4 linked regions of the Arabidopsis thaliana genome follow. The protein of the gene in region 1 interacts with the protein of each later gene in a pairwise test. Each region holds a gene or a part of one and is shown in the gene's direction. Other genes may lie near its edges.

Region 1 (4,482 bases):
GACTAATTGTACAGACATAATAATTAAATCAGTAAAAGTCAAAAGCTATTATCATCAAGCAATGGAATCCCATCCCAGACTGCAATTAACAAATGGCAATTGAGAGTTTAACAGAATTTGACAACTTCTTTTTGTTTTTCTAATTGACAACTTTTTATTTGGTCAAATCCTATTGAACTATAATATACTATTATTATAGTTTATTGGTGCTAAGAATGTGAACCAAAGTGATTAGTTAGCAAGTAATAACCTTATTGCACACTATAATACTTTCTTATATTTCTTCTAGTATGGTTACGTTTTAGTGTTAAACTAAAAGAACTGACAAAAAGAAAAAAATTAGATATAGCCATTAGTTATAACTTATAGCTCATGATGTCACATATGTATCATGTGGCTTACATTTGTTCAATTATCCCAGAGATAGTGATTTGTTATCCATAAGCCATATCACTAACCTTTTTTATGGACAGATTCCAAGTCTTCAAAATAAAATTTCAACTACATGTATTACTCTACATAATAAGGTTGGAAGCTGATTTATGCAACGAAGCCATCTTTTTTATACTTCCTACGATCTTTAAATAAAAATGCTCAGAGGTACAGAGGACACAATCCAAGGTGAAATAAAAAAGTGAACCAAAAATTAACGAAATAGAAGTGTCTTAAAATTAAGCAGATAGAGATAGGGAACGAAGAAATAAGATCGTTGAACAGAAAAAACTTGAAACAATCTAGTTTTGCTCTTGGGCTTCTGCAGCCTCCTTCTCTTCATTAGCTGCAGCCATTAGTTCATCAAACTTCTCAGACTTGGCAAGCGTGATCTCAATCTACAAGTCACAGTGTCACCAATTTAGCAACCAACATAGCAATTTCCCAGAGAACAAAAATCATTAGACGGAAGCTAGAATTCCACAGCATAAGCAATTTATCAAATGATTCGAAAATATATACCTTAGCTTTCTGCACAGGACGACCCCTTGAATCATCCTTGATATCCACAGTCGATGTCATGATCTCTGCAGGAAAAAACAATATCCAAATAAGCAAAACTTAGTCACTGAATCTTTCAAATCTCTTGTGCTAACATTAACTCATTCAAGATTAAGAAGATCTTACTCTTTTCAACAGCAAAGCCATTGTTCTTCAATATCTCAGCGACCGTAACAACAGTGGCAATAGCTGCACAACGCACAAATCAATGTTTTATGAGAAACCAGAATAAACTCTTCCAATAAAGAAAGCTCGGATAAGATATTACAAAATCACAGAAGATAAAAGATTCTATGTCATAACAATAAAAGGAAACAGCTTTTCTGATAATAACTTTGAATTTAATGAACTCAGTTACATAGTTTAAAAACCATACATATTAGATTTGATATATAAACAAGATCATAAAGAATAAACATTACCCATTCCTAGTGCAGACAATTCGACATCAGTGTACTGCTGCATGTACCTCTGTTAACAAAACACCAAACATGGTCAATAACATAAACAGGTTTAATCAAATCTAAAGAGCAAAACAAAGTTCACAAATCTAAGGAACAAACATTGATAAAGAGTCACATAAACAACACAGAACCACCAGTAATAACTCATCAAAGTCAATAACAGATAAATTAACACTCATGAACAATCACAGACATTTCCAGACTTGGTACTCAAATAAGAACACTTCGAATCCATAGATTTCAATCTAAATACGAATTTATTAAGATTCGATTAAAAGGGTTTCGTTACCTTGGCGAGATTGACGTAGAAGAACAATGGTTTCTTAGTGTTGGAAACTTGAATCCGATTCTTCTTCTGGGTATCAACAGCCAAGTTCATGTTGTTAACTCCTTCCGTGATCTCTTCCATTGAATCTAACTCAGAAAAATTAAAACTTCTCCTCTCGAATTTAGATTTCTCTCTCACTTTTATCTCAGAAAACGAATGAAATTGAAGAGACAGAGAGACGACGATGAAGCTTGAACCAAACCCCCAAAAAACCCTAACTTGAAATGCCAAACGACATCGTTTTAACACAACCTACACAAATGGGCTAGGCTCCAGCCCAATAGGCCCAATTGGGGGGAAAATTAATTCTGCGATGAGCAAAATCGGCGTTATCCGATCAGATCGTTGAATTGAATCTTCGAGAAGACTCTTCTTTTGATTCAATCACTCACCGGAGAAGAAGAAGAAGCTATGCCGGTGTTCAAAGCTCCGTTCAATGGCTACTCTGTGAAATTCAGTCCATTCTACGAGTCACGCCTCGCCGTCGCTACAGCTCAGAACTTCGGAATTCTCGGAAACGGCCGAATCCATGTCCTCGAGCTCGCTCCTGGAGCTCCAGGCGTAACTGAATCCGTCTCGTACGATACAGCCGACGCTGTATACGACGTATGTTGGTCAGAATCTCATGACTCTGTGCTCATCGCCGCAATTGGTGACGGCTCAGTGAAGATTTACGACACAGCTCTTCCTCCTCCTTCTAATCCGATTAGATCATTCCAAGAGCACGCGCGTGAGGTTCAATCTGTGGATTACAATCCCACGCGGCGCGATTCGTTTCTCACTTCTTCGTGGGATGATACGGTTAAGCTTTGGGCTATGGATCGTCCGGCGAGTGTAAGGACTTTTAAGGAACATGCTTATTGCGTTTATCAAGCAGTTTGGAATCCTAAACATGGTGATGTGTTTGCTTCTGCTTCTGGAGATTGTACTTTAAGGATTTGGGATGTTAGAGAACCTGGATCAACTATGATCATCCCTGCTCATGATTTTGAGATTTTGTCTTGTGATTGGAATAAGTATGATGATTGTATTTTAGCTACTTCTTCAGTGGATAAGACAGTTAAGGTTTGGGATGTTAGGAGTTATAGAGTTCCTTTGGCTGTGCTTAATGGTCATGGATATGCGGTGAGGAAGGTGAAATTCTCGCCGCATAGGAGGAGTTTGATAGCTTCTTGCTCTTATGATATGAGTGTTTGTCTTTGGGACTATATGGTGGAAGATGCTTTGGTTGGTAGGTATGATCATCATACAGAGTTTGCTGTTGGGATCGATATGAGTGTTCTTGTTGAAGGTTTAATGGCGAGTACTGGTTGGGATGAGCTTGTTTATGTTTGGCAGCAAGGGATGGATCCTAGAGCCAGTTGATTCATAAGTAAGTTTGTGATTGCAAAACAGTTTCATCTTTATTTGTTGTGGAATTGGTTTGGTTTTTGTTAAAGGAATGTAGTTGGAATAAAGTTGGGATCTTGCTTAAGAAGAAATGTAAGTTACTGAGAGTTTCACATATGAACAAGGTTATCTTTCGAATTGTGATTGATGGTAATAGTAGATAGATTGCTTATGTTCTAGTGTATATGTTAACCTGTTACAATGAGACCTGATTAACATATATATTAGGACTAAGATATATGTTAATCTTCTATAATGTCCAAAGTAATGACATAATATATATAAAGTCAATTACTTTAGGGTAATGTACCTTTTATAGTATACTGTAGAATTCGAATTTTGTTCTTTTTCATAGTTGATTGACTTTATTGAGTGGCATAAATGTACATATTTATAACTTTCTAGAGCATATTGCAGTTTCGAGCTTTTGCATTTTATGCGTCTTCAGGTAGAAGCTTATTAAAATCACAAGAACATTCTTACGGATCTTCCATTTCAAGAATCACTTTCTACTTATTACTTTACTATTATACCACTCTCTTTTTTATCTTATTCCATAGTATTAAAGATTCTTTTATTTTCTTATGATTTTTTTTTTAATATAGTACTCCGATCCCAAACAAAAGATCTCAAAACACATTTTGTCAAGTCACAAGACTCACAACCGTCTCAACTTTTGGACTAAATTCAAATCAGACAAATAATTGGGTTAAACATATGAAAGGGCTTGACATTATATCATATAGTATTAAAGTGAACTATAATATTGCTTTATCCACGAGGTCAAGAACATACTATATGTAATAGACACACATTAGTATTGACTTTTTATGTTAAAACTAGAGATTAAATTTTGTGAATTTAAATGACACATGTACGATCTTTTACTTTTGTTGTGATGCACGCGGAAGATGTTGCGAAGGATTAGAAATTGTTAAAAGAGAAGAAGGTGGTAGACTGCTCTTCATTTAGGAATATTTCTGACCATAAAACTTGTGGCATGGAAGATTATTCCTAAGAAATTATACGAAGAAGAGATCATTGTCGGAATAAAACATCGGTCTTATTTACAATGCAGTAGCATTGTACCGTGGAATATGCTTCTTTCCAAGTTTATATAACATCAAATTTGCAAGTTACAATTGTGAACATGTGAGATGGATCAAAGGTGGAAATGCATTACAGGGTAAGATCTCTATTGGCAGGAAACCATTACTTAGATCTTTGCATCTCTTTATGCATTGCTTTTAATTAGTGAGTTATCTGCCAAAGGAGATTTGCCCTGTAATTCTTCTGCACCAACATATT
Region 2 (5,816 bases), 8.9 Mb from region 1:
GTTTAACTCTTCTCTCGAGTCTTTGTACTTTTGAAGGGAATTTCAGAACCGCAGTTTTCACTGATGCCTTACTGAAACAGACTAAAGATTTCTGGAGAGAAGCTCGGATATTGGCGAATCTTCACCATCCTAACGTAGTGGCCTTTTATGGAGTTGTACCAGATGGACCTGGTGGAACAATGGCAACAGTGACTGAGTATATGGTGAACGGATCTTTGAGGCATGTCTTGCAGAGAAAAGACAGGTACACAATAATCTGTCAAATCTTTGTATGACCTTTTGTGATATGACATTCTGAGTTTACTGATGGAAAAACTTTGGGCACAGATTACTTGATAGGCGCAAAAAACTGATGATAACTCTTGATTCTGCATTTGGCATGGAGTATCTACATATGAAAAATATTGTTCATTTTGATCTTAAATGCGATAACTTGCTTGTAAACTTGAGGGATCCACAACGACCCATTTGCAAGGTAACACTTTTCCCCAAAATCAGGTAATTTCAAGCCAAGTTGTATGAGTAAAGTGCTGTATTTATTAGTCTCACTGTTGAATTTGCAGGTTGGAGATTTCGGATTGTCGAGAATAAAACGAAACACGCTTGTCTCTGGTGGAGTAAGAGGAACCCTTCCATGGATGGCACCAGAGCTGCTAAACGGAAGCAGCAATCGGGTCTCAGAGAAAGTATGTTGTTGAGTCCAAAATCAAAACATTGAAAATGTTAAGAGTCTTTGTTTTAATCTTAACATGTTTTTGCAGGTCGATGTTTTCTCATTTGGTATCGTGATGTGGGAGATCTTGACAGGCGAAGAACCCTATGCGAATCTGCATTGCGGTGCCATCATTGGTAAGTTTCTAGCATGAGCAGTTCTTCAGTCTTTGAACAAGATGAACTTGGATTGAGCTTTGGTTTATGATCTAATTTTTGATCTGTTTGGTTTTGATAAAAAGGTGGAATTGTGAACAATACGTTAAGACCTCCGGTGCCTGAACGGTGTGAAGCTGAGTGGAGGAAGTTGATGGAGCAATGCTGGTCATTCGATCCAGGAGTACGGCCATCGTTTACGGAGATTGTTGAACGACTTCGATCAATGACTGTTGCCTTGCAACCCAAGCGAAGAACCTAAAAGCCCTCTCAAATAAACGTAAGTTGTGAGATACATGAGCCTTTTTTTGGGTTGGTTTTAAATTTATTGGTTGAATGAAAGCAGAAGATGGGAAGAATATAGATTTATGAGATTGTGTGGAGTCTGTAAATTAGTATTGAGAAGCATTTACCGGTTTAGGTAAAAGTTGTATACCAAGAAAGTTGAGGGTCAATTGTGTAAAAAAACACAACTTTTTTTTATGTAAAGCAATATGTTGGAGTAATAAGCCCAACCCATTAAAACTCAGCCCATAAATTGCAACGTTCTCCATTGTTGTTCTCAAACGCGCCTCACTTAACTCATCTTCTCAAATTATTTCAAATCCAGCAATTTATGAAACGCGCTCTTCAACGTTAATCATGTTGTTCTCAAACGCGCTAACGAGACCGTTTAAGTAAATTGTAATCTATCTTGTAGAATAATCAGCCCTGACCTATATAGTACCACCTCATGTCGTGGTAGCATAAATATACAAGCCCAAAGCAAATTTTATAGATCGAAAGTTTCACTAACTTGGCCCATGTTTACTTATTTATCGCTAAGCAGATGGATCTCAATCTTCTTTAGGACTTGATACGACATCAGCTCCCATTCTATTCGCCAACTCAGGATTCTCGATTTAGTTTGACCATTTGAGCTGCTCTTTGTTTGTTTCAATGTTAAATTATTGGAATTGAAAAACATGGACATATGAAATTCCAACAAAACTGTTACAGCTTAATCATAAAGCATATGTAACTAAATGATTACTACAATTGATTATGAGATACTAATCACAGATTATGCCAATGAGAAACAGACCAAAGCACCAAACTTAATAAGTAACAACTCATAATCCATGGAAATCAAAAACGAAAAATTCTCCATAAACATTGAGAAGAAAAACCAAAAAGAAACAACAACAGCAGGGAAAAGAAGAAAGCAAAGACTTACGTAGAGAACAGATGAACGAAAGTTTCGAATTTGAAAGTAGGCTCGAAGAGAGACTAAGACGGCGTTTTTAGGGTTAATTCATAAGAGAAACGTGCCGTCGAAGAAATGACTGTCGAGTTTTTCTGAGAGAGAAAGAAAGACATCTTACTCTATACGACGTCGTTTAGCATCAAAACCAGATGATTGATTCCGCTAAACCCTGAAACCGTATATGTATGTAACCCATCCTAAACCGGGATGAAGCGGTTTAGTTTTTTTTTTCCTTTGTCTTTTATCTGCTTTACAACGAACGGTTTAGCCCAGTTTGGGCTTCAAAATAATCAAACGAAAACAATGGAAAAAGCAACGGAGAGACAAAGGATACTGCTTCGTCATCTTCAACCTTCGTCATCTTCCGACGCCTCTCTCTCTGTAAGCTCTTCCGATGCTTTGATTTCGAATCTTCTGTTTCCAATTTCCCCTCGCTAATTGCTCTCAATTGTTTGCATGTGATTACGAATTTATTACTGAAACCATAACTCTCAAGGCTGATTTCGGTTGGCTCTTGTTCGATGTTTTTTTTTTTTTTGAATTATTAGTAATATCTTGGTATAGGAATTGTTTTTGAATTACAATGTATCTCTTACTGTTTGTGTTGCTACCTCACAAGGCCTCAGCTTGCTTGTCCAAAGACAGTGCTGCATATCAATATGGAGATGATGTTGTCATTGTCGCGTTAAGTTTCTCTTCTTCTTTTGATATTGTGCAAGACTTTATGGAAACTTGTTGAACCTTTTTCTATGCTTCTTGTGATTCACAGGGCACAAAGGACTGCACTTTGCAAGGCAAAACGTGGCAGCTTCAAGGATACATTTCCAGACGAGTTGCTTGCCTCTGTATTGAGAGTATGTCTTGTTCAGTTCTGTTTCCTGTTTTTTGGCTTCCCCTTTTTCCAATTTGCACTTATGTGTGCTTCTTCTTGCTAGGCATTGATAGAGAAAACTAATGTAAACCCAAGTGAAGTTGGTGACATTGTAGTGGGTACTGTTTTGGGACCAGGATCTCAGAGAGCCAGTGAATGCAGGATGGCTGCGTTCTATGCTGGTTTCCCCGGTAATATTTTCTTCTGTATTATGGTAATCCTGAATCTTTTCTTCTTTTTCGTTTGTTGTATGCTTATGCTCTTTTTGTCTGTTGGAAGAAACTGTTCCCATCAGAACCGTGAACAGACAGTGTTCATCTGGGCTTCAGGCTGTTGCTGATGTTGCCGCTGCCATAAAAGCTGGTTTTTATGACATTGGTAAGATAGTAACTATCTTTGGTTACATAAATTGTCTTATCTTGGCATGAAGAATTGAGCTGAAATTACGTTGAATACAGGTATTGGAGCTGGGCTGGAGTCCATGACAACTAATCCAAGGGGATGGAAAGGATCAGTCAACCCAAATGTACCATGCTCTTATTGTCTCTCTCCTTCCTTCCCGGAGTGTATTGATTGGCTCTGTTGAATGATTAGCTCTCATAGAACGTATTCTGTTGTTTTAGGTGAAGAAGTTTGAACAAGCTCACAATTGCCTTCTTCCAATGGGTATTACTTCAGAAAATGTAGCACACCGGTTTAATGTTTCAAGGGAGGAGCAGGATCAAGCTGCTGTAAGTCAAATAAGCATTCTTAGTTCTAATGCATGTATTCGATATTGCCCTCCATCCCTTAGTTTATCGAGTCAAATGTGTAGGTTGATTCTCACAGAAAGGCTGCTTCTGCTACTGCTTCCGGAAAGTTTAAGGATGAGATAACCCCTGTAAAAACCAAGGTACATGCTGTTTTCCACCTTGCAACAACTGTGAACATGTTAGATTCTTCAGGATGCATCAAGTGCTCTTTACCCAATTTAATGAATTTTGTTTTTACATTTCAGATTGTTGACCCAAAGACAGGTGATGAGAAACCCATAACAGTTTCTGTGGATGATGGGATTCGACCTAACACAACCCTTTCCGGACTTGCAAAGCTGAAGCCAGTGTTTAAGGAAGACGGAACCACAACTGCTGGTACTTTCCCCAGATTAATTGGTCATTTTCAGAGAAAAATGTTTGTTTGATCCATCTTTTTCCCAAATCCCTTGTTTCCTTTGTGTCAAACAGGGAATTCTAGCCAATTAAGTGACGGTGCTGGAGCTGTTCTCCTTATGAGGAGAAATGTCGCAATGCAGAAAGGCCTTCCCATTCTTGGTGTATTCAGGTGGGCTTGATAGTTGATACTCTATATTGACCTTTCTTTGCTTCATTTAGTAACAGCACTCTTGGACACATTACAGGACATTTTCTGCAGTTGGTGTGGACCCAGCCATCATGGGGGTTGGGCCAGCCGTTGCCATTCCTGCTGCAGTCAAGGCAGCTGGTTTAGAACTCAATGACGTCGACTTGTTTGAGATTAACGAGGTTTAAGATAATAGAACAACTCTTCTTCCTTTACATTTACTCCAGCTCATAGTCTATTACTTATAGGCCTTATATTCTTTGTCTAAAATCCTACTGTGTGTTCAGGCATTTGCATCTCAGTTTGTTTATTGTCGGAACAAGCTCGGGCTAGACGCGGAAAAGATCAATGTCAATGGAGGAGCCATAGCCATTGGACATCCCTTGGGCGCTACAGGTATGCTTCCTCTTTGTTCACATATCATTAATTTCCTTCCTCATCTAACAACTACACATTCTCAGGAGCCAGATGCGTTGCGACGCTGCTGCATGAGATGAAACGACGTGGTAAAGACTGTCGTTTTGGCGTAGTGTCAATGTGTATAGGTATGTAATATGTTCACTCTCACTCTCCTTTTGACTCCCACTCTCTCGTACACACTAACACTCTCACTGTGACTGGGAAACCGCACAGGTTCGGGAATGGGAGCAGCCGCTGTGTTTGAGAGAGGAGGCGGTGTGGATGAGCTCTGTGATGTCCGGAAAGTCTAATGACAATAAGGCCTTTTGACCAAGGACCCTAGCTAAGGACCAAATTAGAACACAGTACTACAAATAAACATTATCACAAATAAATGCGTTCTAGATGAATAAATCATAACGATAGTACAATACATGAGGGAAAACTTCTTGTTATTTTTTAACTCTCTTTTGTTATATGGTTGGAATATATACAGATACTCTTTGAGAACATATCATAATCTATTTGGTTTGTCATATGTATGTACACAATTGTAGAACTATATTATTGAATCACGTTGCATAGTAATGATTAAATCAAAAAGGAAATGTAGATTACAAGTGTCTTTTATCGAAACGAAGAATCAATTATTAACCCTTGTGACAATATCACAAAAAGGGGTGGTGGCGCAGTTGGCTAGCGCGTAGGTCTCATAGCTACAGAGTGATCCTGAGGTCGAGAGTTCGAGCCTCTCTCACCCCAAATTCTTTTTATTTCTCAAACTGATTTTGGAGTTCGACCAATTCTTCTACTACATAGTCTACATTCAAATGCATTGAAAGATAAAGATATTGCTGATAGAATGCAATGCAACTACACTAGTCATTAGAAAGTTTATCCCTCGAAGATATATCAAGCATGGGGTTTAGGTTTACTGTCAATGACATATATGTTGTATTGTGTAAAATATATAGTAAACAAGATTTCCAACGAAAAAAACAGTGGGTATTTACACAATTCATTTTCTCTCTTACTTGGCTTTTCTTAGCATATGCAAACATTGTCATAAATCAGATTAAAGCTTAGTATGTAACT
Region 3 (6,800 bases), on another chromosome or scaffold:
ACTACTAATAAATTATGAAATAAATGTAGGATTCATTCTTTTTCTACTTCTTTTTGCATATCCGCTTGAATCTATATAAATCTGTATAAGTTGGAATGTTTTGACTGTATATTGTGTCACATTACATTATACATTACAGTTCCACGTGGTATTTTTTATGATTTATTAAATTTGTATGTGTTAAATAAATTTATACTTCATTCATATAGATAAGAAATGTATACTTTACAGTTTACATGTGTATTTGTTATTAAAAAAAGATAATATAAAAGAATAAGATATGGGAATGTTTACCCTAAAATCATATATAAGAGATTCAATTATCTTTTTATCTCATTTAATTTTGAGTCAGGAAAAAATATATATACAGAGAAGAAACAAAATTATTAAAAATGTAAAATTTATTGGTTAACATTTTGTCTTTACAAAAAACATAGATATGTTAATATAACGAATATAGTAAATGATAGAATAAAGATATTTAGTATGGTTAAGTAAGAAAATTAACATTTTCAATAATTTCGTCTCTTCTTTGCATAGGATTTGTTTGCCAACTCAAAGTATATTAGATAAAAAGATAAGATTGAAAACTAAAGTTGATAAGATATTATATTGTTTCACAAAAATTAGACATTGGATAGATGTTTAAGATTAAATAATCTTGTTAGAAATAAAACTGAAGTCTATGATGTTGCATGTAAGAGCTAATACAGTAAAATAAAATTATAAATTAATAACATGGGGAATAAAATATTTTATTGATTTATATAAGTGTTAATTTTTAGATGTAGTAAAAATATTGAAAATGACTTTTTCACAAAAATTAAAACAAATTCAAAGAAAAACAAATAACATTTTTATCCAATTACGTTATATATTATATTCGTCCAACTTTGAACCGGAAAAGTTTATTAATTTACAATGATTATTAAATTGACAAGTATTAATATATAGATGTTTCACTCTAATAGGTTAAATGGACAACTATATGCGAAAATATTAGGGCGATATTACAATAATCACAATGTAAAGATAGACAAGCACAATGTAAAGCTGATCACGTACAGTTTTGTTTCTTCCTCTTCAATGTTAATCTCTCCATTCAGTTAGAGTTAATTTCTAGTCTGATACATAACAAAACTACAAAGTTTCTCGAGTTTTTTTGTTATTTGATAACTCTCTACACGATCTAATTTCAATATTACATGTCGGAAAACTTCCGGAAAGTACCACACAAATGTTTGTAAGATTGAGTAAAATTGAGTAAAGAGAGCTTTAATCTCCCATATTTGCAAGTCGATATAAATTTGGTATCACGGCGTGTAAGAGATCTTGACATGCTAACCTTACGCAGATGTGCATTGTTGCAGTGCCATATTGTCATTATTGGTAATATATATGCCTAAGTAAAGTTCATATTGATAAAAATTTTATTCAAACACTATTGCATCTGCTTGTCAATCGCATAATAACATTATTAATTGAAAATGTAGTTTTCACTATTATACAATATCCGTTCTTATTTCGTTTAAACCGGCCGAGCCCATAGTATTGCAAACTATCACACCATATGGGCTTTAACTTTACGTTGGTAAAACGTAAAAAGAAAATAGCGATCAAGTCTCAAGAAGGGTACTTTTAGAATTAATAGCAACTTTAAGGCGTAAATAGAAGTAATACAAATAGTTGGGGTTATTATGTAAATATGAAGAAGATTAAGATCCAGAAGATGGAAATGAAAAACACGGCACGCATTTCAAAGCCCAAAACGGGCGGGGGCAAACGTCACGCCTAATCTTATCTTCTTCTATCACACTCTCAGCTTATCTATGACTATGACTCTCATCATCAATTATTTCACACTATTAACAATCACCAAACCAGTGTGAACATTTTAATTCATAATTAGAGTAAGGTCATTAGGCTAAAAACTGTTTGATTTGGATTTTACAACTATAGGATAAGAACTTGTATCGCTGTCACAGATGATATTTTTTGGTCGTTTAAGCAAAGAAATATTACGAAAAAGAGATATTTTTTATTCTTACTTATTTTGGGATTATCATTTACCCGGAACGGGCAAAGCGGTGAGTCATCTTACCTTATAAATGATCACAAACCCGAGGACTGTGAGTTTTCGTGTAGAACAAATCCTTCTCTGAGAAAAAACAACAGATCCGAATTTTATCTTTAATCAGCCGGAAAAAATGGAGAAAGCGATCGAGAGACAACGCGTTCTTCTTGAGCATCTCCGACCTTCTTCTTCTTCTTCGCACAATTACGAGGCTTCTCTATCTGTAAGCATTCTATCACCACACACTCTCTCTCTCTCGATCTATCGCGATCTTTTGGTTGTCTTCTCTTGTGTTTGCAGTCTGGGGATTATGGATCGTTGTTGATCTGGATTCATTATATGGAATTTTCGATTTTGATTTTGATGCTGAATTATAATTTGATTCGAGGCGTGCCTGTGAGCTGAAAATTTTAAGTTTCAGCTCGATTGAGATCAAATTCAAGACTTGGATTTTGTTTTTGTATTTCGTTCACTGGATTGAGATAGATATCTTTTTTTTTTTTGTTGTTGTTTGATTTTTGTTCGATTGGGTTGAATTATCCGTGCTCTGCATGTACTGATGATTTCTTAAAAGTCAAAGCTTGATTTCAATTACTACGTGTGATCTCTTTAACGTGTTCTTTCCAAATTCCCAGGCTTCTGCTTGCTTGGCTGGGGACAGTGCTGCATATCAGAGGACCTCTCTCTATGGAGATGATGTTGTCATTGTCGCGTAAGTCCCATCTCTTATGCTTTTACTCTTTTGGTATTTGGTTTTTCAGCAACGTATGAAGATTTCTCGTCTCTTTCTGATAGACTTACACTTATTGATCCATTGCAGGGCACATAGGACTCCACTATGCAAGTCCAAACGTGGCAATTTCAAGGATACATATCCCGATGATTTGCTCGCACCTGTTTTGAGGGTCTGTCGCTATCTTTTCTATTCTGTTGTTGGTTTTTATTTCCTTTCTACGTCTATTTATAGATAGTTCTTCCTTGACATAGGCATTGATAGAGAAGACGAATCTAAACCCAAGTGAAGTAGGTGACATTGTTGTGGGTACTGTTTTGGCACCTGGATCTCAGAGAGCCAGTGAATGCAGGATGGCTGCGTTCTATGCTGGTTTCCCTGGTATGTTTCTTCTATGTACAGTACAATACAATGGTGAAAAGTCTTTGTTTTTATTTCCTGTATGCTCATCCTGTTATGTTCATTTGCAGAAACCGTGGCTGTCAGAACTGTGAATAGACAGTGCTCATCTGGGCTTCAGGCTGTTGCTGATGTAGCCGCTGCCATTAAAGCGGGATTTTATGACATTGGTTAGTGAATAACCGTCTTTAACTACGCCACATTTTTTCATAGAGAACCGAGCTGACGATATGATGGATGCAGGTATCGGGGCTGGTTTGGAGTCCATGACTACCAATCCAATGGCATGGGAAGGGTCAGTCAACCCAGCGGTACTGATTCTCTCTTATCTGGAGTCTTACTTGGCTCTGTTATTTTAATACGTACTATAATACGGACTATGTTATTTCAGGTGAAGAAGTTTGCACAAGCGCAGAATTGTCTTCTTCCTATGGGTGTTACGTCAGAAAATGTAGCACAACGCTTTGGTGTCTCAAGGCAGGAGCAAGATCAAGCTGCTGTAAGGGAACTGAACTTTTTCAGTATGGTTGTATTTTAAATAACCTATAACTTTGATCGCTATGCTAAGCTATGGAGTCATATTGCTAGGTTGACTCGCACAGAAAGGCAGCTGCTGCTACTGCTGCTGGTAAATTCAAGGATGAGATCATTCCTGTTAAGACCAAGGTATTTTTCAGATCCTTCATACAATAACTGTAACATTTAAGACTTCTCTTGGTGGATTAGTTACTGAACTTCATTCATGTTCTAGTATTAGTCAATAACGTGTGTTTTAAATTTCAGCTTGTTGACCCGAAGACTGGTGATGAGAAACCCATTACAGTTTCTGTTGATGATGGTATCCGACCAACCACAACTCTTGCTTCTCTTGGGAAGCTGAAGCCAGTGTTTAAGAAGGATGGCACCACTACTGCTGGTACTTTTCCCGAATCAATTGTTTCATTATGGAAACCACAGTTCTTATTATCACAATTTTAAATCCATTGCTTCATTTGTTCTGTCGCAAACAGGAAATTCCAGCCAAGTAAGTGATGGTGCAGGAGCGGTTCTCCTAATGAAGAGAAGTGTTGCAATGCAAAAAGGACTTCCCGTTCTTGGTGTATTCAGGTGGGTAATAATTACTTACAAAGCTACGACTGTGGAAGTCTGAAAACCGAAAAAACTGCAGAGGCTTGTGATTTCCATTTACACAGATATGCTAGTATACGTGGAAAATACATTGTTCTTTCTGTATTTGGCTTTTTCTAAGTAGCACACTATTGGACATATTGCAGGACATTTGCTGCAGTTGGTGTTGACCCTGCAATCATGGGTATCGGTCCAGCAGTTGCCATTCCTGCTGCAGTTAAGGCGGCTGGTTTAGAACTTGATGACATCGACTTGTTTGAGATCAATGAGGTATATAGCAAACAATTTCATGATCTTCTTATCACATATCTCTTCCCGCACATTCTGATGATGACCATCTGTTTGAATCCTTGTGTGTTCAGGCATTTGCATCTCAGTTTGTTTATTGCCGTAACAAATTGGGACTTGACCCAGAGAAAATCAATGTCAACGGAGGTGCAATGGCCATAGGCCATCCTTTGGGCGCTACAGGTATATCTGTTAAGAACAGGACTAAAACTGTTAAGCTTGTTCCAATTTACCAAACCATAGAGACTTGAATTAATGAGAATCTCTCAACTCTCAACCAAACCTTAAGAAATCCACAGCCGAGATATATCTTTATAAACTCTGTCCTCACTAATGGTTCTTTAACCAACTTACAAGAGCTCTATCTTGCCGCAGTCCGTCCTTTTCAAAGCATATCAATGTCTACATTGTGTCTATATAATTATAAAACGCTCATGAACAGTTGCTAATACTTGTTAAAACTCTCACAGGAGCGCGTTGTGTTGCTACATTGTTGCACGAGATGAAACGCCGTGGTAAAGACTGCCGTTTTGGAGTAGTGTCAATGTGCATTGGTATGCTTCTCACTCGAATAATTCATTGTGAATTTGGTGTCTGAAATATGTGTCTGAGGGATGGTTTTACTGATTTGGTAAACTCTGGCAGGGACGGGGATGGGTGCAGCAGCTGTGTTTGAGAGAGGAGATGGAGTTGATGAGCTTCGCAACGCAAGGAAAGTTGAAGCGCAAGGTCTTTTGTCCAAGGACGCTCGCTAGAGAGGACCATGCACCAAAACCGTTTTTCACCTCACCTCTCTCTTTTCTGGTCTTCTTGTCACTTTCTTCAGATATTATTATAGTTTCGAATAAAGCACACAACCAATGTTTGCCTGAGTCTTGTGTTGTTCTTGACCAGGTCATGTGTTTAGTATTTTTTTTAAGTGAAGGGGGATAATCTTTAAATCTTTTATATGTAAGAATATTGTTCTTCTCGAATTTCATCAGTTGTTGCTTCTAGAAATTTTAGATTTTTTGGGTGGCAGCCATTTCTATATTTCGATGGATAAGTCAAACGTTCATAAAGTCAAGGGTTCTGCCTTTTGTTTGTGTTTCATGATTTTACCTTGAATTTCATTAACTAAAACAGTGTTAATAGTAACAGTTGGGGTGGTGGCGCAGTTGGCTAGCGCGTAGGTCTCATAGCTACTGAGTGATCCTGAGGTCGAGAGTTCGAGCCTCTCTCACCCCATAATTTTATTTTCTCATAGCTATTTATATAACGTTCCTTCTAGTATTTTTTTTTCTTTTCGTTATAGTATCTTGTCTTTGATACCGGAGACGTTATAACGGCAGTATAAGACGTTATAATCATGTTCCAATGCATCCCCTCAGTTTTGTGTTAAAAACGAGCCATCAATGTTATCATATATGGAAATCATTATTGAGGCTTTGACCAATTAATTATGCGAATTGACCGACTTTGATCACTATACAGAGCAAAACAAATCCACTGAATCATTTATTTGTGTAGGTTCATCTTTTTTGGGCACCGTATTCATTTCTTATTCCATGAATTTGACGGAGTAATTTTGATTTTCTTTTTCGAGTAAGAATCTGGTCAAATATTCGATGAACCTCTACAAAAAAAATTAACCTCTATAAAAGTGTAGATTAACCAAGTGTTTCATCACAAACCATTTCAACGTAAACGAAACAACAACTACTACTCTCAACTTTACACTCTCTTGATAAGTCTCGATGATGAATAACATGAAGCTCTTGATCATCGCTGTGATGATCATCTCGGCAGCTTTGCTTCCAGCGCTTGTGGTCGGATCTCGTCCGGTAAAATGTGACAATTGCATGGACGGTGGAGAAAAAGAAGAGATCATGAAGATGAGTTCAGGTGTAGATGTGAGCCATAGGATACTTCAAGCTAAGAGATTTATAGATTACGAAGCATTGAAGAAAAACTTACCAGCCAAACCAGATGGTAAACCGGATAAACCGGATAACAAATACCGACGTGGTTGCAGTGCCGCTACAGGATGTTACCGCTTTACAAATTAAACATAAACCACCTCTCTCTTCTTCTTCTTCTTCCTTTCGTTGGTGTGTTTTATTTTATTTTTAATTAGTATTTCCAATCACATTTCTTATTATTATATTTTATTGCAATTTGTAAGCCTTTGAGGCATTA
Region 4 (5,292 bases), on another chromosome or scaffold:
TATTCACATCCTAAACAACGATACGCGACCCTACTCATGTATCAATTAACCATTTGCTAAAACATTCAGAGACTGACGGAAATTGTAAAAAGAGACTATAACTCTATGAGTCAGGGGAAACCCCTCATTCTATCAACCAGTACGAGTGGAGCTCTCTCTCTATCCCGCGATTTATTCCTTTCTTCATTGATCCCGGATTAAAGAGACTCCTTGGTCAGAACCAACCATCTATCGCCTCGATCATGACTTCCTTTGATGGGATGGGCGAGGGAGGATCGAATTTGCCAGCTCCTCATTCAACTTCACCGGAAGAGGTGGCATCTGCTTCATAACTTCTGGCATGTCATTCAAGCTGCAATCCATTCAATCAGCAAAGCACGTTAAGATTTGAGTTGATACACTATAATAGCTCGAAAACTTTGTTGGAAAAGAATGGCATTTCCCAAAGTGAGTCAATGACATCGAAATGATCTATAGATATATGGGAAAATGTATTACTCGTTCAAGATTGCAAGGATATTGTCTCGAGCTTTGCACAAGATATTGACATTCTCATGTAGCTGCAATGGGAAAGAATCTTTCATAAGTACACAATTGGATAGAACTAACGTAAACTTAAGCTGATATAGTACAAAATCAATCATAAAACCACTGGATTGCTCAAAAGCCAACAGCACAAGGCAGAGAATCAAATCAAGTCCAAAAAACTCAGCGAATTATACAAAACTTACAAGATGAAAAGTGGAAGTTGAATTCACCTGGAAAGCTGAGAAATTTGTTGAAAGTTGATTGAACATTTGAGCATTTTGCTCGAGAAGATCTCCACTCACACCACCAATAGCTGCAATAAAGCCGAAACACTTATGCTCCTTCTAATCCAATCTAGAAGATTTAGCCTTTAAATGGAAAAAGCCTAGAATCTTAGACAAACCTTTATATGAAATACCATCATCAGTATCGATAGGCATCATAGGCGGAGCATAAGAAGGACCATTAGGATGAACATTCAAATGAGATGAGGACTTGGCTGAAGAATCTGTAGCTTTTTCCTGCTAAACAGATATGTGAAAGACAATCAATCAGTTTTTGTAGACTTATAAATGGATCCACAAGACAACACAAGAACTTTCATCCGTCCAAACTCACAAGTAAATGACTAAAGGTTCAAGCTAGTTACACATTAGAATTCAATCAAGCTGATTTATGGTTTGTACTTCAAATATCTTTCTTAGCCTTGCTAGTATCGAAATTGCTAAGTAGCAGCAAATAGGATTGAAATCCACATACTTTCTTATCTTTGCTTTTCCTCGAGGAATGATCTTCTTTCCTACGCTTTCCGTTTTCCTTTTTCTGCAATCCATCAGCAACCACATGGAGGTGAAAAACCGTCAGTTGATTCTTACTAATCAATAAAGCCAATACACGAAGAAGGTTAATCAAGAACAACGAAAAAGTCGCCGGATTAAGCAAAATCAAGAAACTTACAGTCATCCATCTACAGCGCAGGGCAACATCTCGAACAGTCTTATCTTTCATTTTCATAGCAATCTTCGCATATCGAAAAACCGACGGTTCTGTCGCGTACCTATATAAAGATTAATTACTAAAAGAGTGATAGGATTTAACAAGGCTCCTACAAAAATTTACAACCAGTCATTACAGATAAGTAGACAACTCATCCTCTAATTAAATCCTAAAATTTTCACATTGCTCTAACACTAATGAGCCTATCATAAATATGATACCACACTAGCTAGCTAGTCATTTTTCTAGTATTTTATTTATTACCATACTTGAAACCACATCCAAAACTCACAATCAGCTAATCAAATACCACTGTTTCTCTTCTCAGATATAATTCAAAAAACCCGACCAAAGCTAACAATTCTCAACACATATTCCGATTCAAGCTACATGATGCTTGAAAGGCCATGGAAAATAACATATCGCAGAATTCACTACATCTAGTCACATCTAGTCAGATAGAAAGAACATTGGATAAAACAGCAAATCCAAATCTTAAACATACAGAGAGAGAGCGAGAAGATTACTTGACAAGCAAATCTTCCAATAGAGATTGTTCCTCAAGAGTCCAATCGGTAGAGATCCCTGGATTATGCCTCAACGCGCCAATCGTCTGTGAATTATCCGCCGCCGCGCCTGTATTTCCACCATTATCGACGGAATTCACAGCAGCGCCATTCGCCGCCGCCGCTGAAGAAGACGATACCTTCTGCGTCGCCGACGAACCTTCCTGATTGTTCCCCGACGGGTTCGCGCTCGCCGCCATTAAATACCCAATTTTTGGAGCTTAAGAAGTCACTTGGTTTCCTAAAATAATTCCACCGGAAAAGTTTGAATTTTGGGAAATTCAGATATGAATTCGCCGGGATAGGAACAGAGAGAGGGAGAGAGAGAGATGATGGGGAGATTAATCCGGCCGCCGACTGAGCTTCTTCTTCTGCTTCCCTCGAAATATGGAATCTTTGCTTATAATAATATAAACATATAATTTCATCTCTATCCTTTTTCGGATTTTGGTTTTCTATTTTTGAGAGTCAAATACGTCAATTTTAGTAATTAAGAGGCTTTTTGGGTAAGGATTATAACTATAGGGGCTGATACATAATAACCTAAAAGAAGAAAGTAATCTGTTTTGTTTTTTCCTCTCTTTTCGAGGTCCCTTCTCCTCTGTCTTCTTCATCCCACCTCTCTTGTCTCTCTATCTCTCTCTCTCCGCGCTTGAGGTTGGCGTCGGAGATTACCAACAAGAGCTCTCTCCAATCGTCGTCTCTTTGATATATGGCGTCTCAGCCTGCAGGTTAGCTCAATTGAAATTCTTTTTTTTTTTTTTTTTTTGAGGATTCAGATTTTAGGGTCTCGATTTATTGAATTCTCCTTCTACAATTTTGGTACGTTCGATGAGACCCGTCGAGTTGTTTGATTTGAAAGTTGTGAAATTGATTAACTTTCGACCTACAATTGGATTTTAATTTAGGGTTGTAATCAATTGATGAGATCAGCTTTTGGATTGCGCTTAGCTTTGATTGGCCTTAGATTTTCTTGATTCAATTAGATGCTTTCGTTTTGGATTGCAATTTGATGCCTTTTCTTATTCTACATCATAGTTCTACTTTGATGTTTTCACATAACCTCACTTGTGTTACCGATACTGTTCCTAATCATCTTTACAATTGCTTTCATCAAGTCTCTTTAGTGTGTGTGTTTGCCTGTGCTGATTAAAGTTTAGTCTTATTTTCAGAATACTATCTGTCATGTCACTAAACGTATAATTAATTCAATTTACTGCTGCTGTAGGTGGCAGTCCTCCTAAACCTTGGGAAAAAGAAGGAAATACATCTGGTCCTAATCCTTTCAGGCCTCCTTCTAATACTAGCACGGCTGGTTCAGTTGAGGCTTCTGGCACAGCTAATCCTGGTGAAGTAGTTCCTCCGCCCGTGAACAGGCCTAATACAGCTGCTAATATGAATTCACTCAGTAGGCCTGTACCGGCTAGACCTTGGGAACAGCAGAATTATGGGAGCACTATGGGGGGAGGTATATTTTTTCAAGTTATCTTAGATTTTTTGGTTGCTGAGATTGCATAAAGCTTAGTTCTTTTATTGTATGAATGGCAGGTTATGGTTCAAATCTAGGTATGACCTCTGGGTATGGGTCAGGTACATATGGTTCAGCATTAGGTGGGTATGGTTCATCATATGGTGGTGGGATGTATGGAGGTAGTAGCATGTATAGAGGAGGTTATGGTGGTGGTGGGCTCTATGGAAGTTCAGGCATGTATGGTGGTGGTGCGATGGGTGGTTATGGTGGCACGATGGGTGGTTATGGTATGGGTATGGGAACGGGAATGGGAATGGGGATGGGAATGGGAATGGGTGGTCCTTATGGTAGTCAAGATCCAAATGACCCTTTTAATCAACCTCCATCTCCACCAGGCTTCTGGATATCATTTCTCCGTGTGGTATTGTTCATTATTCATACTTTATTTTGTATAAGAAATAAAAGAAGTTGATAATGATAAGGTAGTACTGTATAACATAAAGTGTTCATGTTTTGATTGATGACAGATGCAAGGTGCTGTGAATTTCTTTGGCCGTGTAGCGATGCTTATAGATCAAAACACACAGGCCTTTCACATGTTCATGTCTGCCCTTCTTCAGGTTCCTTCCTGTTTTTTTCTTCTACCAACTCGTATTTTACTGGTTCCTTGATCCATTTCATTGTTCTCATGTTAACCAATCATTTATTTGTCCTCAGCTATTTGATCGTGGTGGTATGTTATATGGAGAATTAGCAAGATTTGTACTGCGTATGCTTGGGGTGAGAACAAGGCCTAGAAAGATGCAGCAGCCACCACAAGGGCCTAATGGGCTACCTTTACCACACCAGCCACATGGAAACCAGAACTACCTCGAGGGGCCTAAAACTGCTGCACCAGGTGGTGGCGGTGGTTGGGACAATGTATGGGGCAACTAAGTTACTTCTTTCATTACCCAAATCCTTCAACATTGCTTTAAAACACCATGACAACCAGTTGGTTACCGATAGAAGATAAACCGTGTAGCAGCCTGCAACACAGATTGGGATGTACGAAAACCAGATGTTTGTTTGCAAATTGAGTCTCTTCTTCTCTTCTCTCTATCTCTCAGTATTCTCTGATTGTGTGGTAAAGGATAGATGTCGTACTCTACAAAATGGAAAGTGAAGTTTTAAGTGTTTGTTAAAGACCTTTCTATTGATATATATTTATAATATCCGATTCTCTTCCTCTTTTACTGGATTTGAAACAACACTGTTGACCAGTAAACGATTTTGATACTTTATTAACAACTTGAAGCCTATTCTTGAATACATCTTTTCTTGCAGTTTGCCTCTAGACAAGACCAACACATTGGTCCCAAAAATGTCGTATGAACGAACTTAAAAGAATCATGTACTGTTGATAGAAATTGATGCTTTTATTCTTGTGCATATAGTCTCCAGTCTGGTCCTATGACCATCATTTCTTCTGTTCTTAGTGTTATATCGGCTCTATGTAATCTGAACATCTCAATTGCTGTAGGGGTCAGCCTCGCGTTCCCGTTCATGTAGAGAATCTGGAGGTTCATGCAACCGCATCGTAGAGCAAGCAACCCTTGGTCACATAAGTTCCTACAACGGTTCACATGGAGTTTCTTCAAGTTACGGCACCACTTCCCTACGGCTTCCCATCCCGAAATCTTAACTTCATGACAAAGAGCCAAGTTCCACTCTTGGAGCAATGGACAACCT

The links.
Region 2: the proteins of PEX7 (region 1) and PKT4 interact in binary tests that used the Arabidopsis thaliana proteins (3 or more experiments, as listed by UniProt).
Region 3: the proteins of PEX7 (region 1) and PKT3 interact in binary tests that used the Arabidopsis thaliana proteins (3 or more experiments, as listed by UniProt).
Region 4: the proteins of PEX7 (region 1) and PEX13 interact in a two-hybrid assay, tested with the Arabidopsis thaliana proteins (one study listed by BioGRID).

The regions. Positions count from the first base shown.
Region 1 is NC_003070.9:10,222,727-10,227,208, forward strand, and holds PEX7 (peroxin 7), read left to right. Parts: upstream 1-2,088; 5' UTR 2,089-2,196; coding exon 2,197-3,150; 3' UTR 3,151-3,596; downstream 3,597-4,482. Other genes in the region: AT1G29250 (Alba DNA/RNA-binding protein), read right to left, coding at 735-830, 955-1,019, 1,120-1,182, 1,416-1,464, 1,747-1,866. UniProt on the Arabidopsis thaliana protein: Receptor required for the peroxisomal import of proteins containing a C-terminal PTS2-type peroxisomal targeting signal. Specifically binds to cargo proteins containing a PTS2 peroxisomal targeting signal in the cytosol.
Region 2 is NC_003070.9:1,319,525-1,325,340, forward strand, and holds PKT4 (peroxisomal 3-ketoacyl-CoA thiolase 4), read left to right. Parts: upstream 1-2,360; 5' UTR 2,361-2,416; coding exon 2,417-2,494; intron 2,495-2,732; coding exon 2,733-2,797; intron 2,798-2,882; coding exon 2,883-2,967; intron 2,968-3,048; coding exon 3,049-3,175; intron 3,176-3,263; coding exon 3,264-3,362; intron 3,363-3,442; coding exon 3,443-3,510; intron 3,511-3,607; coding exon 3,608-3,715; intron 3,716-3,798; coding exon 3,799-3,876; intron 3,877-3,981; coding exon 3,982-4,114; intron 4,115-4,207; coding exon 4,208-4,304; intron 4,305-4,380; coding exon 4,381-4,504; intron 4,505-4,609; coding exon 4,610-4,718; intron 4,719-4,783; coding exon 4,784-4,867; intron 4,868-4,955; coding exon 4,956-5,032; 3' UTR 5,033-5,316; downstream 5,317-5,816. Other genes in the region: AT1G04700 (PB1 domain-containing protein tyrosine kinase), read left to right, coding at 81-244, 328-475, 564-686, 762-849, 954-1,129. UniProt on the Arabidopsis thaliana protein: Involved in fatty-acid beta-oxidation prior to gluconeogenesis during germination and subsequent seedling growth. Implicated in jasmonic acid (JA) biosynthesis.
Region 3 is NC_003071.7:14,046,391-14,053,190, reverse strand, and holds PKT3 (peroxisomal 3-ketoacyl-CoA thiolase 3), read left to right. Parts: upstream 1-1,790; 5' UTR 1,791-2,207; coding exon 2,208-2,297; intron 2,298-2,709; coding exon 2,710-2,786; intron 2,787-2,894; coding exon 2,895-2,979; intron 2,980-3,061; coding exon 3,062-3,188; intron 3,189-3,277; coding exon 3,278-3,376; intron 3,377-3,449; coding exon 3,450-3,517; intron 3,518-3,597; coding exon 3,598-3,705; intron 3,706-3,794; coding exon 3,795-3,872; intron 3,873-3,989; coding exon 3,990-4,122; intron 4,123-4,216; coding exon 4,217-4,313; intron 4,314-4,480; coding exon 4,481-4,604; intron 4,605-4,696; coding exon 4,697-4,805; intron 4,806-5,092; coding exon 5,093-5,176; intron 5,177-5,267; coding exon 5,268-5,377; 3' UTR 5,378-5,713; downstream 5,714-6,800. Other genes in the region: RALFL18 (ralf-like 18), read left to right, coding at 6,359-6,670. UniProt on the Arabidopsis thaliana protein: Involved in long chain fatty-acid beta-oxidation prior to gluconeogenesis during germination and subsequent seedling growth. Confers sensitivity to 2,4-dichlorophenoxybutiric acid (2,4-DB).
Region 4 is NC_003074.8:2,410,821-2,416,112, reverse strand, and holds PEX13 (peroxin 13), read left to right. Parts: upstream 1-2,525; 5' UTR 2,526-2,802; coding exon 2,803-2,821; intron 2,822-3,318; coding exon 3,319-3,558; intron 3,559-3,638; coding exon 3,639-3,982; intron 3,983-4,088; coding exon 4,089-4,181; intron 4,182-4,278; coding exon 4,279-4,497; 3' UTR 4,498-4,792; downstream 4,793-5,292. Other genes in the region: AT3G07565 (histone H2A deubiquitinase (DUF3755)), read right to left, coding at 241-352, 499-560, 732-841, 932-1,052, 1,288-1,350, 1,486-1,585, 2,052-2,290; AT3G07550 (RNI-like superfamily protein), read right to left, coding at 4,980-5,292. UniProt on the Arabidopsis thaliana protein: Component of the PEX13-PEX14 docking complex, a translocon channel that specifically mediates the import of peroxisomal cargo proteins bound to PEX5 receptor.